Tamandua tetradactyla: one gene and its partner. The protein of the gene in region 1 purifies or fractionates together with the protein of each later gene. This does not show direct contact. Links are inferred from orthologs where the notes say so. Each region holds a gene or a part of one and is shown on either strand. Other genes may lie near its edges.

Region 1 (8,532 bases):
TTTTTTCCCCCAATTTTCCTAAACTCTGAATTCCATTATTACTCATAGAAGAGTAATTAGAACACAGACTACTTCAACCAGTATGTCCTGAACACTGATTCATGGACACTGCTGTAGGCACACAATATTACAATAGATTCAAGGTCTACCCTGGAGGATTATGCCATCTGAAGGTGGTAGAAGGGCATTAAGAACTTAAGCATGCATGCATGTGCACACACATACACACAACAAAATATTAAACAAGGTATAAGTGCTTTGGGGCGGGGGGGGGGGGTAAAAGGCAGTAAGAGAATTTTAAAGGGGGTAAGATCACATTCCCTGTATGGAAATCACCCTTCAACAAATTTATCTTCGTCACTGAACTTAAGAATCCTAAAATACCACTCCTTACTAGGAGTCTTTTGATAGACAAACATTTAAGCTTATGGTTGCTTATGAATTTTACATAGACATAGTAAAAATTTTATGAGAAAACCAAGCTATGACCAAATCCTTTTTGAAATAGATGTGAAATATAAATAACACAGAGCCTTCTTTCCTTTGATATTGCATTCCTTTAGGAATTTGTATACTTTTATTATTTTTCTAGAGATTAATTTTCCCAGACTTTAGAAAAGGCTTTTTAAAATTTACTTCACTCTCATGCAGGATATTCACACGAAAAGGTTCAACTGTGATTTTATGAGCACCCCCTAAATAAGTTTACAAAACACATATAACCACCATTAGCCTTAATTTTTTTAGTCTGAAATGCTCTCAAGGTCTATTTACCGACATAGGAAGAACTACAGTATTTGTTATTATCTTGTCACTCTAATCCTATCTTAATTCACTAATAGCCTGCAATTACCTGCCTTTCACCACTAGATGGGTGTCCTGGATGAATTTAAAAACTTTAAAATAGAATAAGGTGTTGAATATGTACTATCATATCAATCATACTTTACATGGCATTCCTTATGTTGAAATATAGATGCAAACTTGAAAAGTTGGATTTAAAAACAATTTACCTTTCTTTCTTTGCTTTGTATATATGTCATACTATACAATAAAAAAAAATTTTTAAATCTCAATTAAGTCAGAGCTCTACAGAAAACCAAATAAATGGCTCTGCTCTATGTGTGAGGTTCAAGTTAAACAACAACGACGACGACGACCTACTGTATTTTGAAGTGCTCTTTTATGAGAATGTGGTAACTTTAAAAAATGCTTATCATCCCACCCACTAAACTGTCAATGGAGTGATGGGTACGATCACATTTGTTTGAAACAGTGCAAAATAAAGTTAATGCATGGGAGAATGGATCCACTTTTGGCTCTAAACACTTAAAAAAAAATGGGTGTACTTAAAAAGGAAAGCTATTGTATTCCACCTAGTTGCAAGTATCATACTGTAATTTCATATCCATGATTTAGCCTTCACTTTATTACTCAAACAATATTTCCCACCCGAACCCTCCAGGTTCAGTCTCTGTCCAGAAACTAGAAATACCCCACAAATCATACACTTTGAAATCCAAAAGAAAATAAACTTTAAAACATGGATGTTTTGAAGAGGGGCTGAAGTCATCTCAAATTCTTTAAATGCTCTCAATACTCTTAAATTTCCAACTTTCTCATTGCCTACAGGAACACACTAAGCCCAGCTAGGACTTTTTTTAAAAACCACCTTCTCAATCCCTTTTGTTCTCCTCCCACTTCCTGTCAAGTCATCCACACCTACAAGCTACTACATCAAGTCAATTTACTCCCCAAATTTCATACTCTGCATAATCCAAACAATTCTAGACTGGATTAAAGGAAGTGTATGTCTAAAGAACACTCATTTTCTTATTACAGACCCCTAAAATAAAAGACAGTTCCTGACCCCACAGGAGATGAAGATTCTCAATAGCAGAAACAAGAAAAAAGTATGGATTAAACTTTCCAGAGAGAATGAAGTGTAGTAGAGCAGTAGATGCAGAGCCAATTAACAAATTAATTCCTTTCAGAAGCCATTATCATTTCCGATTTGTACCTTAGAAAGTTGTGATTACATGCGAACAGAGCAAGCAAAATTCAAATAGTCAAGGTTTTTCAACTTCTTTTGTATGTGCCGATTAGTCTAACTTCTCTAATCAATCAGTTGTCCTCAAAGATCCTACCCATAGAAGTTTACTACAAATTCACAATTCAAATAAAATGCTGAAAATACAAACAGTTGCTAGCCTGCTCTTTCCATACATACCGGAATCTTCAGTTCTATCGTTAGTCCCTCTTGGTGACAAGAGTAGTCTTCTACACTATTTCCTTTCCTCTAGTTTATATGAGAACCCCATATAACTGCGTAATGAAGTTTACTATCAAATTATCTTTTAAAACAACAAAAAAAGACACTACTCCAAAAACCTTTTTCGAGATAATAAAAAGTTTGCAATTACCACTTCTTGTGTCAACGAAACTTCTTTCCTTACTTGGGCAAAAGCTGCTATCCTTATAAAAACTACAGTACGGGTTTGTTGTTTGTTTTTAAGTGAAACAAAGCAAATAAACCTCTTCTGTGAGTTGAAAGGCCGTTTGCTGACCAAGAAACGGAAAAATCAGTCGGTAGTTCTATAAAGGGGGCTTTCGCATCCCCACCACCCGCTTCCTGTGCTCCATACTTGGCAGCACTATCTACCATATGAATTCTGCTCTTTTCCGAACCGATAAAGATTGGCTGATTTTGGCTTCAGAGTCAACTACAAAAGAGCTTAAAAGGAAATTAAAAAGCTCCTCGCCCTTCAACCCCTTTCCATTGATAAAAAAGAGAAAAGAAAGAGAAGTCGAGAGAGACAACGTTTCCGCACAACAGGGATAAGAGAGAAAAGCCTGAAACAGGAGCCCAGGCCCTCGCCGCCGTCGCCCGGGTGTCCCTCGCACGGGCCCCACCCCCAACCGCCAACCCCGAGGAGGAAGGGAGCCCTGTATGGAGCAAGGACACCAGAGGCCCGCAGCGCCGGCCGAGAAGGGAGAAGCGGCGCCGACTCGACTCCGGGGCGGTCATCCCAGCTCACTGCTTCGAAACGAGTACGAATCGTCAGGCCTTTATTCCTTTCCCTCAACCCACCCTACTCCCAAAGGCCAGCCAGCGCCGCGACACCTGGGTCATCCACCACACACATGCTGTTGCTAAGGCGCCGGGTCAAGTCAGCCACTAGCCGGGGCTCAGAGGCAGTGCCCTCGTCCCCAAACCTCCCCCGCAGCCTGGGAGGTCGTTCCCTTACCAGAGGAGGTTGGCAGCCAGCGGCAGGAAGGAAGAGAAGCTGGGCGGCGAGGCCCGTGGTCTCCCCTCAGCTCCGTCACGGCTGGTACTGCTGGAGGCGGTGGCAGCGATTCCTCGCGCTTTTCTTTCTCTCCCTTTCTCCAACAACAAACAGGAAGTACGTCAGGCGTCGGGCAGCGCGGCGACGCTCGACTTCCGCCCGACCATTAATGTGCGGAGGCAGCCGCAGCTGCGGTTGCTGCCACGAGGTTAAAAACCTCTTCTGCCTCGTTCCCTGTCCCCCCTCCCGGTGCCTTCCCGAAAATTCTTCGTGCTTTCCCCAGCGAGCGCCATCTGCCGGTTTGGGAGTCGTGCTGGGGGGGTCTCACGCTTTGCAATGCGGTGGACTTGGAGGAACGCCACAGCGGATTTGAGTACATGGTTCGTGTCCTCAGTCTGGTGGGCCACTGAAAGGCCTCTCTGAGAAGCTCAGGAGGACGCACCGCCCCAATTGGGACGGCCTCTCCCCACTTCTAACTTCACGGAGGAATCAGTGACGGTTAAGGGCGGCGGGCAAGCGGAGACGGACATTGGAAGTTGGCGCACTTCTGCAAGGTGACGGTGTGGGGTGCGGGAAACCAGTCGCCCTCACCCGCGTCTGATTGAGAGAACCCGGCAGCTGTGCTGAAGTACCCTGTGCTTTATTCATTGACCGATTGTTGGGAGAGCCACTGAGCTCATTACTCGGATGGGGTTACCACCAGGGACAGTCTCCCACAAAGAGATTATAATTTAATAAGAGCAATGAATATGTAATTGGGGAAGAAGGGAAAAGAAAAACTATTTGAGGTCCCAGCACTGAGTGCCTTTAGAGCCGAAACTGAAATCGTGAGCTAAGCAAGGCCAGAGGAAACTTGATGACAGTACCCAGCCCCAAGTTGAAAGGTGTCTTGGTTAGAATAGAAGAAACAAGGGATCTTTCTCGCTGGTTTTTCCCTCGTGGGCATGCAGCTCCAGCGTCTGAACCTCCTGGGTGCTTTTTAAAAATGCATGTTCAGGGAGGTTTCACCCCCAGAGCTACTGAATCAGATTCCTGGACGTGACACCTGAGAGTCTGTATTGTTAAAAGGTCATGCGGCACCTACGTGAGAGTGGAACCGTCTAGCAGTAAATAAGGAGCCCGTATCCTGAAAACAGTGAAGATATAGTTATTTTACTTTTCCGTCTTTACCGATAATCTTCATTTTAAATTGTGCAAATACTATTAACCAGCCTCCTTCCCTGTTACTCTTCTCTAAAGCAGAAATAAGTTATATAGGCAAAAACCTAGAACCTAGTGTTGTCATGTCAAGGACACAAAAAATCAGGCCATGGCCACGGTTAGAAGTTGAATAACTAGGCACAGACCTTCTGGGTCAAGCTGCGGTCACCTTCCTGAGAATCACCTTAATTACTTCTTAAAATTCCCTTTGAAACCTAACTCATTGATTTGCAAGCAGTAAAACCTATAAGCTTCTCGAAGGAGTAAGCGGCTGAAAGAAATGAAAGCAAGCTGTGGCCCAAAATAATAAGGGGCAGTTTTTAAATTTTTTTGAAGTTTACAGACAATTTGGTGTGTTTTGATAGCTGAGCATTTATGGCTGTCCCGCCATGACTAAGCCTTTCCTGCATCAGCAAGGAATCTGATTCTAAGGGTAAAACCCAACACAAGAAGTTTGAAGTTAATGATTAGTTATTGATTAGTATTCCTGTAAGAATAAAAAATGCTGTGGTCTCAAGTACTGAAAAAAGTCTCCACAAATCCAAGGTTCAGTGAGGCCCACGAGCAGTTAAATCCATGAATCCTAGTCCAGATTTCTGTTTTTACTCTATAATATCAAGCCAAACCTTTGTCTCATACCTCGGTGTCTTTGTCCTAGTCCACTTAATTGTTTCCTTTGAAAATAAAAAAAGCTCTTTGCCATGTACTTCACAAACTTAAAGTGCTACAGATATGCTAGTGTTGATTTCCAGTGGCCAGTTTTTCAGACACACTGAACAACATGCTGAATTCTCCTTCACCTATGTTCTTTAAATACTTGGAGGAAAGGCACTTTTTTTTTATACTTTCCATTGATAATAGCTGCTTAATGACCCGTTTTAGGAATCTGGAACACTTAACTGTTAAGTAGGCATGGTTCTACTTTTTCTATTTCACAAAAGATTGCTTTATATTCTTTGTTCATTTTTTGTTTTTGCTAAGCCTTTATTGTATTACCTGATATGTAGTTTTTAGCAAATGATCATCAAAATATATTTATATTTTTATCAAAGTCAATTCTCTGTTTTTTTAGTAGGTTATGATTCCCAATCAAAAGAAATGAGTAATACATTTGATTTAGTTTGGACATCTCATGATAAAGCCTAAGATAATCTTAGCAGAAACTGGAATTTCATTCAGATATATGAACAGTTTGGCACTGTCACATGTAAACATGTCTGCCACAGCAAGTTGATGAACTTTTATTTTTCTTCAAGTGTTGACAGTATTATCATCTGACACTTCACATTTAAATAAATTCCTTACAGCAAGTGTGAGATAATCTTAAAATGCAGACAGCACAGAGACGTGAATTTTAAATAGTAAGTGCAGGCTAACCACAAATAACATCCTCCCTCCCCCCCCCCAAAAAATCAAAAATTTATTAAAACACTTGTTAACGCAGTGAACTGTATTATGAGAAAAAACAACTGGTATAAAACAAGGCCTCATCTCTAATGGAATCTGGAATTCACATGGTAGATGAAGAGAACAGGTGTAAACACCTTCAAAATTAAATAACATGGCAATATTTAAATAGCTCTTTGCAAAACAAAGGAGAAGATCTTACAGCGTCAAGGTTTTATTCTCACATTAACACTAAGCCAAATGGTGGTGCTAGTGGGAAACTAAGTTTAGAGGGAGATGATCACTCTGAGGTAGGGCAGTCCTATGAGAGGAAGGATTTAAAATGGGGTGAAAAGAAATTGGTGACCTTAAGGAAACAAGGTGCAAAGTGAGCAAGCTGCTTTGAAGCAAAGCATCTAAACAGGAATAGTGAAAGACAGAGATTGAAAGTTATAAAAACTGAGAACCATCTAGACGATGGGAAAACATAGAAGAGGTTGAAGCAAGGGTATGAGATGATCGAAGTCAAACAATGACAAATCTGTGATTTGCAAAATGTGTAGAAAAGTAGAGACCAGTCATTCTCCATGGCTTTGTTTCCTAATCTGTAAAATGGGGATAATTGGCTTGATGTGAAGATTAATTGTATGTGCTTAACTTAGTTCCTGGAACATAGTAATACTCTAAATAATAATCATTCTATGTTCCAGGCCTCCGAAAAACTGATAAAAATTATAGACTCTCCCCAGAAAAATAGGCAATATGAGGGGATCCATCAGTCTCGGGACCCCGGGTAAGCATTCTGAATTGCAGCTTGGTGATTTTTAAACTGAAATGTGCTTTTGAAAAAAGACACAAGGTGTCTTTTTTATTTGCAAAGTTGATTACAACTTTGCAAATAATCAGTACCACCTTACCGCAAAATACCACTCAGCCCTTTAAAAAAATGTGGTTATATTTATTGACATAAAACATATCTAAAATACATTACTGAAACAGAGCTTGTATAGTATCCCATTTTTGCAAAATTGTGTTCATTTATGCATATATATATATGCATACACATGCATTAAACTGGGAAGAATATTCAGCAAATTGCTGAAAATGCTTATACTAGATAGTGAGATTTCAGATAGTTCTTCCTTTCCTTGTGATTCTTGTGTTTGAACTTTTTATTTTATTATTTTTCAAACCATTAAGAATAATTTTTATAAAAGTACTATGAGTGACAAAAGTCCATCCAAGAGGCCTATGTAGTATGTGAGGTGGTACGAAGTTGAAATGAAATTGTGGGACAAGCAAGAGAAATATGTTTTCATTTATTCATTTATTGAATACCTACTATATTCCAGCATTTTGCTGGACTTTAGGCATAAATCAAAGAAACATGACTCTTTCTCTCCAGGAGCTTAGAGTTTAGGTTGGTTTGGTTTGGTTTATGCGGTTTTATTTTGTTGTTTCTGTTTTTTTGTCTATGTGTTTTTATCATTAAGATATTTGTGCATATTTCTGATCAAAGGACCCAGTGGAAGAGATGGAATTGAAGATGCTGGAGAGCAAGCAATAGTTAAAGGAGTTAAGTCCCAGAGTAGGCATGAAGATATGGAACCAGGTACAGGGATAGAGGAACTAACTTTGAAAAAGAGGATTTACACTTCTTCTTTCAAAACAGGAAAATGAAAGGGATCAGTAAGGGGTATGGCCTGTAAATTTTTTTTTTTCTGTTTGTTATATTTTTCTGTTGTCTTTTTATTTCTTTTTCTGAATTGATGCTAATGTTCTGAGAAATGATCATGATGATGAATATGCAACTATGTGATGATATTGTGAATTGCTGATTGTATGTGTTGGGAATGTTTGTTTCTTGTAATTTTTTTAATTAATAAAAAATTTTAAAAAAAACAGGAAAAAAGAAAAGATAGAGAACAGATAAGATGTGGAAATTCTAATGGCCAAGATTTTCTCAATATGGGAGGCCTTGAGAAAATGGATGAATTTGGAAGAACAATTGTGGGGAGTGTTAGGGATTAAAATACATAGTTAAATTTTAAAAGGTGAAGCACTAGAGAAGATTGTTTAGACTTCTCAAAAGAAAAAAGGAGTAGAGAAAAATTTCATTAACACTTCAAATACTTACATTGCTCATAGAATATTTTTCTTCTTCAGGTGAGTGGAAAAAGAACAGTTTTTGTTCAGAGGCCAGAGAATAAAAATAGGTGTTTTTAAGTAATTACCACGTTGATGTGGTGCATGAATTTATTTTTGTGCCATGCATCCTAAATGACCAGTAAAACTTTAATGTTGATGTTGCTATGATTTTAACCGAGCTAACAAGCCTCAGTTTCCCCATCTGTAAATTAGAAATAATGATACTTAACGTAACCTATATAGGCGTTGGAAATAATTAGTTCTTTGAGCTCCTCAGATAAAAGGTATCATGAAAGCACAGGGCATTATATTATATGAGAAATGGGATATTTCACATACATATATGTTTCTCAAATGAATATTCTGCCTTCAAAGCCTCAAAGGAATATATGTAAATCAAAAATCTCAAAGAATATCCAAGATGTCATGACCTTTGAAGAATCTTACATATATATGTGCTTTACTTTAGGTTCCTGCCTTCAAAACAAATTGCCCAGAGTTTGTACTAAAA
Region 2 (7,757 bases), on another chromosome or scaffold:
AAATTATAGACTACTATACAATATTAATTATGAAACCCTCTTGTTTTGTGTCTACTGGGACATTGGCACACCCTAATGAGAAACTTTAAGCCAGACAAATGAGCCCCCTACCCCAAGTCTTTACTCCCTGGCTGCTGTTTAAGCCATTGCACATGCCTGATAGGAAGGGGAAAGGAGGCACAACATGATCAGTTTTGGAACATCTGTCAATAGCCAGTCTCCCAGTTCTGTCATTTTCCCCTCCCATTCTCCAAAACCCAACCCCAAACATCTTAATTCACCACCCATAGTATTCTAGGAGGCACCTATGTCTGGCATATAAGTGGGTGTTCAATATTTACAAAGTAAGGGCCAATTTAAATTGGAATTTATCTTTCAATAAACATAATATATTCATTCATATATCATTCCTACATTTTGAAATGTAACATATTTAACTTTAAGAAAATTCAGGCAATTTTGAAGTCCATTAATCTCTAGTGGTGTGACCTTAGGCAAGTCGTTTAACTTTTTAAGCTTTAAATTTCCATCTGCAGAATAAGTTCCACAAAGGTACAGAGCCTGGCATGAAACTCAGTGCTCATGAGATGAATAAAGTTAGCCTGTGTTTGTTTCTTAATAAGTAATTACAATTGCAATAACTTTAAAAAGCAACAATAAGTAAGGTATGTTAAGCTACTACCAAATGCAAAATTCAGAATGCTTAGAATTGGTTATGAAAAACAAAGAAGGAATGACCTCTTTAGGAGGAAAAGAATAAAGGAGATGGAATAAAAAAAGAAAAATTAGTGTCACGATAAAGTATTAGAAACAAATGGAAATCTTCAACAATTTGTAGAATGCTGCCAAAAACATTTTAAAGCTCTTTAAACATCATATACACCATTTCATACCAGGTAACGCATTTAGTATTAATCCTTTTTTTAGTTTCATATGGAAGAAGTTTCTTCCATTATCAACAAAACCAGCATAGTAGGGGAACAGTAAGTAAATGCATGCATCTAAGTATGAACCATAATTTTCACTCTACCTAATACACTGTTTTGTTAGTTATTTTTAATATGAAATTAAACTGTTACCAACAACATGAATTTCATGTTAGTTTCTTTTAAAAACTGATCCTTGAGGCATGATTCTAGTTTTTTTTTAATAGTGTAAGCTCTGGCTGGGATGTTGCCCATGGTTTCAATTAATGTTAATAGGATCAGTATTAGCATTTTTCTCTGTTTAGCTAACCTTCTAAAATACTTCTTAAGTTTTCAGTCAATATTTTTTCTTTTTTTTTCTAATTAGAGAAGTTGTTGAAAAATCATGTATAAAATGCAGAGTTCCTATATCCACCCTATAATTAACAGCTTGCATTAGCATGCTTGCATGGACCATTAGCATTGTTACAAATGATGACAATAACATTTTTTTATAATTGTACTATTAATTATAGTCTATGGTTTACATTAGGGTTCAGTTTGTGCTGTACAGTCGGTATTTTTTTAAAAGTAAGAAACAAAGCTTTAAAAGTTCGAAATTACTAGAAATGTCCTTGAAATAAACAGATGGATATTAATCAGTAATGTTTCCTCATAATTCAAGGTTAATTAAGCAAAGTAATTTAATCGCTTATGTGCAATAATTAGAATACATTTACATTACTCAAATATTTGACTATAATAATATTCAAAACCAGAAGCCTTCTTTAAAGAGGAGCACGTGAGTGCTTTTGTACCTACCCATATATGAAGCCTTACTTTAAGTTCGAGGGCAGTGACTCAGCTTGAAAGAATATGCAACACCCCTCTCATTCCTTTAAGAAAAATTCTTTCATTCTGAATTAGGGAGAGAGATTCCTGAAAACACCTGAAATCATGCCTACTTAATTTTAAAGGCTGCAAAAATGTGAGTTACTTTTTACACTGCTACATTAAAAAAAAAAATCAGAGGGACAAAAGAAGCAGAGGCACTGAACTCTAGTTTTGCTCCACTTTCTCTGAGGGGTTGAACAGGTCAGGTTTACTAGTTTTGTGGAAATACACATGGAATCATTACTTCTCTGTTGTTCCATTTGTCTCATTCTGAGCAGAATCCCAGAAATGGTTTCTGTGTTTGCCATCCACGAAATCGTGCATGGTGAATGTCTCCCGCTTCGACTCTTTTCTGGGTAGTAATAATAATAAATGCCTCAGTTCCTCAGTTGCTAAGAGAATACTGTGGTTATTAATGTACGTTTCTTGGCAAATGGATACCTCTTGCTTTGACATATTAATCAAGGGAGATAAAAACACACATGCAGTGCTTCTTAAACTTTATGGCTCACATATTTATTTATACGTGATAACTATTGAACAAAATTTGCGCACAATTTGGGTTCCTTACGTGCCTTCCTAAGATTTTCATCCAAGCACATCTGCATGTGATCGAAATTTAGAGACATAAACGTTTACAGGAAAGAAAAGAGCATTTCCAAAATTTATTCTAAATGATTTAGAAATTCTATACACACCTACCACTATGTGATTTAAAGAAATCTTGTAACAAGTAAAACAGAAAAACCGACTATGTTTACAAGCTTTCAGGCCACAGTGACTATCACCTTTCAAGACGGTGTCAACAGTGTCTTCTACGTAACTAGGTAAAAGAATGGCTGAGTACAGTACGCGCGGTCACAGAGAAAAGGAAGCTGTAGTGCCTCGATTCCACAAAATGCTCCCAGCTACTGTTCACCTCTCAGTCTTGCATCTGTTCTACTCTCTTCTCTAATCTTTGCTATAGGATGGATTCCTGGAGCTCACCACCACTCCTTCCTTTGCTCTGAAGCGTTTTAGAGCAAGGAAATTAATCACTTCACTTTGGGGGTGGGGGGGGGGAGAGACTGGAAACTGCTGCCTCCCTTAAAATGCACAATGGGAAAGGAGTAAAGTAACAAGCATCTGTGAAGACCATATATAGGCACAGAGAAGGTTCTAGAAATTCTGCGGACCCGAGGTTTCAGTCTGTAATCTCCAACAGTGTCACTGTAAGTTTTATCTTTTCTGATTTTTCTCCACTCCCAAACGAACAGGTCTGTGAATGACAATGTGACCACAGAGGTTTATCTTAAATCGATTCAGTTTTCTCTCAGAGAAGGAGAAGAAAATTCACAGAAACAAGTCTCAAGCAAGCACTTCTCTCGCAGCGCCTCAGCTGGCCTGCCCCGAAGCTGCGCGCAGGCTCGGACCCGCCGCTCGGCCTCCGCCCGCGAACCGCCTGCGCGGCCCCCAGGGCGCCCCCCGCCCGCGCGGCCCCACGCGCCGCCCTCACCTGAGCTCCAGCTGGTCCAGGCTCTCCAGCAGGCGGCTAGAGCGGTCGGCCATGGAGGAGGAGCGGCAGAAGCGCCCCTCGTTGGCTTTCGCGTTGATCTTCGCCTGAGCCATCTGAGACTCCGAAAGGGGCAGCCAAGAGGTCACCGGCCCTGGCAGCGGCGAGTCGAGTGTTCCCGCGGCCGCAAGCGTTGCCGTCACCGCGCGGGGCGCCCGCCTCCCTCTGACGCCCGCGGGGGGCGGCCCGGGAGGCTGTGCCGACACTGCCGCTGCCACCGCCGCGTGGCCGAGAGCAGGCGCCCCTCGGGGCTAGGGTCGGACGGGCCCGGGGCCTGGGTGGGGGCTGCGGCGGCTGGGGGCGGGGAGGACTTGCTAGCCACTGGGGCCTGAGGAGCAAAACCAAGCAGCTTCAGAAACACCTGAAGTGACGGACAGAGAAAGCGGGAAGGACCTAATGTGATCTGCTGGTTCTTCTCCCGGAACCCTGAAACAACCCGAAACCAGTGTGGAGACCACAAAACACCACCCCTCGGCCCCAGTAGTAAGCCCCGATTCTCCTTGCAGCCTGAAAGTACCCCTCTTCCGCCCCCGCAGCGTTCCTGGAAGCAGGCTGTGAATGTAGTGCTCAATGATGGCTTCATTTAGTTTCTCCCGGCAAGAACAAAAGTCCTCGGACATGAGCAGAAGGCACTGAGATACAACTCTGTCCTGTCACACCTCCGATTAGAATAAGCCTAAATACCAACAGTGAAGCTATAGAGAAAAAAAGAAAAGGCTACCACGCTTTTTTTCTGTCTAGCGGGATGTGGGACGTGTTAAAAGAAATAACAAAGTACAGTTACCATGGCTAAGAAATTTAAAATGGAGTCAGGAGCTCATTACGGAGCGTTACTCTTTTACAGGGCTCTGCCAGAGATCACGAACTGCCAAAGTATGCTAAACTTCAAGCAACTATGTTCTTCAAAATCCTAAGGACATCCAGACACATAAACCGAAAGATAAAGAACTCAGTAAACTATTAACCTGAAGGACATGTGGAGTATCCCAAATGTCCAACTACAAACAACTTATCTAATCTTTTCCTTTAAAAACCCTTGTCTGGAAATGCCAAGAGGGACACGATTTGGGTTGCTACCTAAATATATGCTCCCTGAATTGCAATTCTAATACCCCAAATAAACGCTTCTGTTGTCTCGCAACTTAATTTATTTCTTGGTTGACAGAAGCAAAGTGAATTTATACTTCATTTCTACCCATTCAATGAAGGGGTATTTAATGACTTTTTTTTCTCTTTATTCAAAAAAATTATTCCTTTGGGAATCTGAGTGAAATAATCGGTATTAACTAAAAAAGCCATTTCACATCCAAATATTTTAACTTAACAATAATGACAAGATTGGTAGGCTACTAGGTCAGACACCATAAAGATCAGGAAAAGATGGATAGGGTTAGGAATGCAAAGACATGTCTACTTAAAGGGAAAAAAATGTTTTGTTCCCATCTCAGTTTCATAAGCAAGGAATAAACATGTAGGAGGCACAGAAAATGAGTTTAAAGCTGAATTACAGACTTTAGAGGTCAAAGCCATTTAAACACATGAACAGAGCTGAGACCCTTAGGTCTGGATTCTAATTCTAATTTATTCTATATATTAATAAACTTCTGGTGTAGTGTATGATTTGATCTCAGTAATTTGGAATCCAAAGACATTTTTTTAAGGTTTGAAAGTCTATCAAGTAACTTATAATCGTTCTGGACTCTTTTTTTTCATATCCTAGATCCAATCCATTAGTAAAGTCCATCAGCTGTATCTTCGGAATACACCCAGATTCTTCTCCCCAACTTCACTGCCACTAATGTAGTCCAAGCATCATCAATTCTCACTTGGGTTACTGCAAAACCCTCCTATGTGATCTACCTGCTTCTACTCTTGCCTCACCTGTCTATCCTTAATACAGTAACTACAGTAATACTTTTAAATAAGGCTGATCACACTTATTCTCAAAAACCTTCTATTGCTCATCTCAGAGTACAAGTCCTTAGAAAGACCTCGACCCTAAATGTGCAGCTCCCTTTATTTCTCTGACCTCATCTCTTATTACTCTCCTAGCTTACCCTGCTTCAGCCACACTAGCTTTCTTGCTATCCTATGAATATGCCAAAGTCATGTCTAGGCCTTTTCACTTAGTTCCTTCTACCTGGAACACTCTTCCTTATGTATATTTGCATGATTCGGTCCTCACTTTGTTCAGGACTTTGCTCACATTTCCCTATCTGTGAGCTCATTTCTGATCATCCTATTAAAAATAGCAAGCCTCCTACACACCAACCCCTATACTACCCACCATCCTTTCTTTCCCTTCTTTATTTTCCTTCATTACATGTATCACCATCAGATATACTTTTTTAATTGCTTATTATCTATGACTCTATCAAACCTCCTCTCCCCAATGTGCACTCCACAGAGGGGGCTCTGTTTTGCTCACTGGTATATCCCAAGTGCTTAGAATAGTTCCTGACACATAAATAATAAATAAATAAATAAATAAATACTTCATGAATGATGAAATGAAAAAAAAGCATTTTTGATAATAACCCATAAAACTTTCTGTAAGGTAATCCATTGATTATACCTTCTTCTTGGGTCTAAGTTAATTGCAAATTATGATGTAATTTTTAAATGATTTTTAATTGCTTAACAAGTAGAAATACAATTGGTGACAATTATTGATTAAAACTTGAAACACCACAATTACATTTTCTTTAGGATCATGATGAATATCCCCTTCTTGTCATATCAAAAGCTTGTTATTCTCTGCCATACACACCACAAAGCTTCTGAATAATCAGTGTACATCACACCCATGTGTGGAACCACTGGAAAAGAGGTGCTGCCTCCTATTGCTCCACATCTGCTTTAACCACTCTTCTTCCTGTAATGTCCCTTCTGTTCCTCACTATTTAGCAAGCTCCTGAAGATATCTTGATGATACAACCCATTGACTACCTCTAAAGACTTGGTTGACAACTTTAACTTACAAATTAAAAGCATGATGTGGTCATTTTGGAAAGATGATTGGTAAATTCTCATCCTATATGTCTTAAAAATACAAGCAGGGAAGAACAAAATTGACATCTTAAAAAACACTGGTTTCCAGTGTGGACTGAAAAGACAAGAGCAATTAAAGCATCAGTAATCCCATTTCACAATAAAATATCCAGTGTCGCAGAGAAAGAACAAAATGCTAGCTGTGGCATTTTTTCATCTTAAGAAAGCTTTAGATTTATAGAAATATTTTAAAATTTGGTGAGAAATTACTACTCAAAACTTTTAGGGGTAGGACATTTCTGGTCAAAAAACACGAAACATATACACAAATAGAGGTATGGCAAGCTCTTCATAGTCTTCTACTTATGTAATGTGTTCTACTATTTATAATGGGGCTTCAACATTGAAAACTTAAATATATAATATCAAATGTAGGAAACTGAGATTAATCCAATGAATAATTCAAATGAAAATACTTCCATATGTAATAAAAAATTTAAAGGGTAAGGAATATTCCTGAGTAGACTTCATTATTTTTGAAGAATAAAAAGTTTACACAGCTATGTAAAAAGAAAAAGGACTAAGATTATTAAAAATAAATTTAATTTTATGCAAATATTTTAGCATTCCTTTTAAACAACAGATCATAGAAGTCATATAAAAGTTTAAGCAGGTAAAAGGAATGGAAAAGGCTGCCTTTTAATTATCGCAAAAAAAAATTAGTTACGTTTTTTCATCCCAGCAATGTGTTATATCTAATTAAAGCAGAAATATACACTTCAGTAAAACTCACAAAAAACACTGCTGGTAAAAATTTTAATCTGTTTCCATGATCAGTTTTCATTACTCTTTTCTAATAACCACAAAGATATGAAAGATATATCACATGAGAAGTAGAATTTACAGGAAATCTGAGCTATAGCAACTTATTTATATTCATTTTCACTCCTAAAAAAATAAAACTAGAATCATCTGTACAGTACAAAAAAAATTAAAGACTAATGATATTTGGGAAACATACAGACCATAACCAAGAGCTTTCCTTTCTTTTTTTTAAGAATCCTTTTAATCTAAATATAGGCATTCAAAATTAACTGGGAAACTGTAATTTTTATATTAGATTACATGATTTTTATCTGTTAGCACAGTATTCTGTGCTTTCTGTATATCTGTGTACAACTACACACAAACAGAAAGAAAATATCAGATTTTGAACATGTGAATGCAAAAGCATGTTCTCAAATACACTTGTGCTAGTAGATTTCTTGTCTCTTTTAGAAAACAAACTCAAGAATTCATTATCCTGAGAGTATCTTCAAGGCCACTTGATGTTGTGTGGTAATATCTTTAATTACATTTCCTCAAGACTTCTTCTAATAGCTTCTTCTAATTCCACATCTGCATTAAAAAACATA

The links. The genes of interacting proteins can lie anywhere in the genome.
Region 2: the proteins of DNAJB6 (region 1) and BAG2 purify together in Homo sapiens (affinity purification with mass spectrometry; 4 studies listed by BioGRID and IntAct, with this or other methods). This does not show direct contact. The link is inferred for Tamandua tetradactyla from reciprocal best matches to the Homo sapiens genes DNAJB6 and BAG2.

Annotation. Positions count from the first base shown.
Region 1 is NC_135327.1:203,495,043-203,503,574, reverse strand, and holds the start of DNAJB6 (dnaJ homolog subfamily B member 6), read right to left. Parts: upstream 3,511-8,532; 5' UTR 3,249-3,510; intron 1-3,248. UniProt on the Homo sapiens protein: Has a stimulatory effect on the ATPase activity of HSP70 in a dose-dependent and time-dependent manner and hence acts as a co-chaperone of HSP70. Plays an indispensable role in the organization of KRT8/KRT18 filaments.
Region 2 is NC_135331.1:116,192,970-116,200,726, reverse strand, and holds the start of BAG2 (BAG family molecular chaperone regulator 2), read right to left. Parts: upstream 3,495-7,757; 5' UTR 3,408-3,494; coding exon 3,295-3,407; intron 1-3,294. UniProt on the Homo sapiens protein: Co-chaperone for HSP70 and HSC70 chaperone proteins. Acts as a nucleotide-exchange factor (NEF) promoting the release of ADP from the HSP70 and HSC70 proteins thereby triggering client/substrate protein release.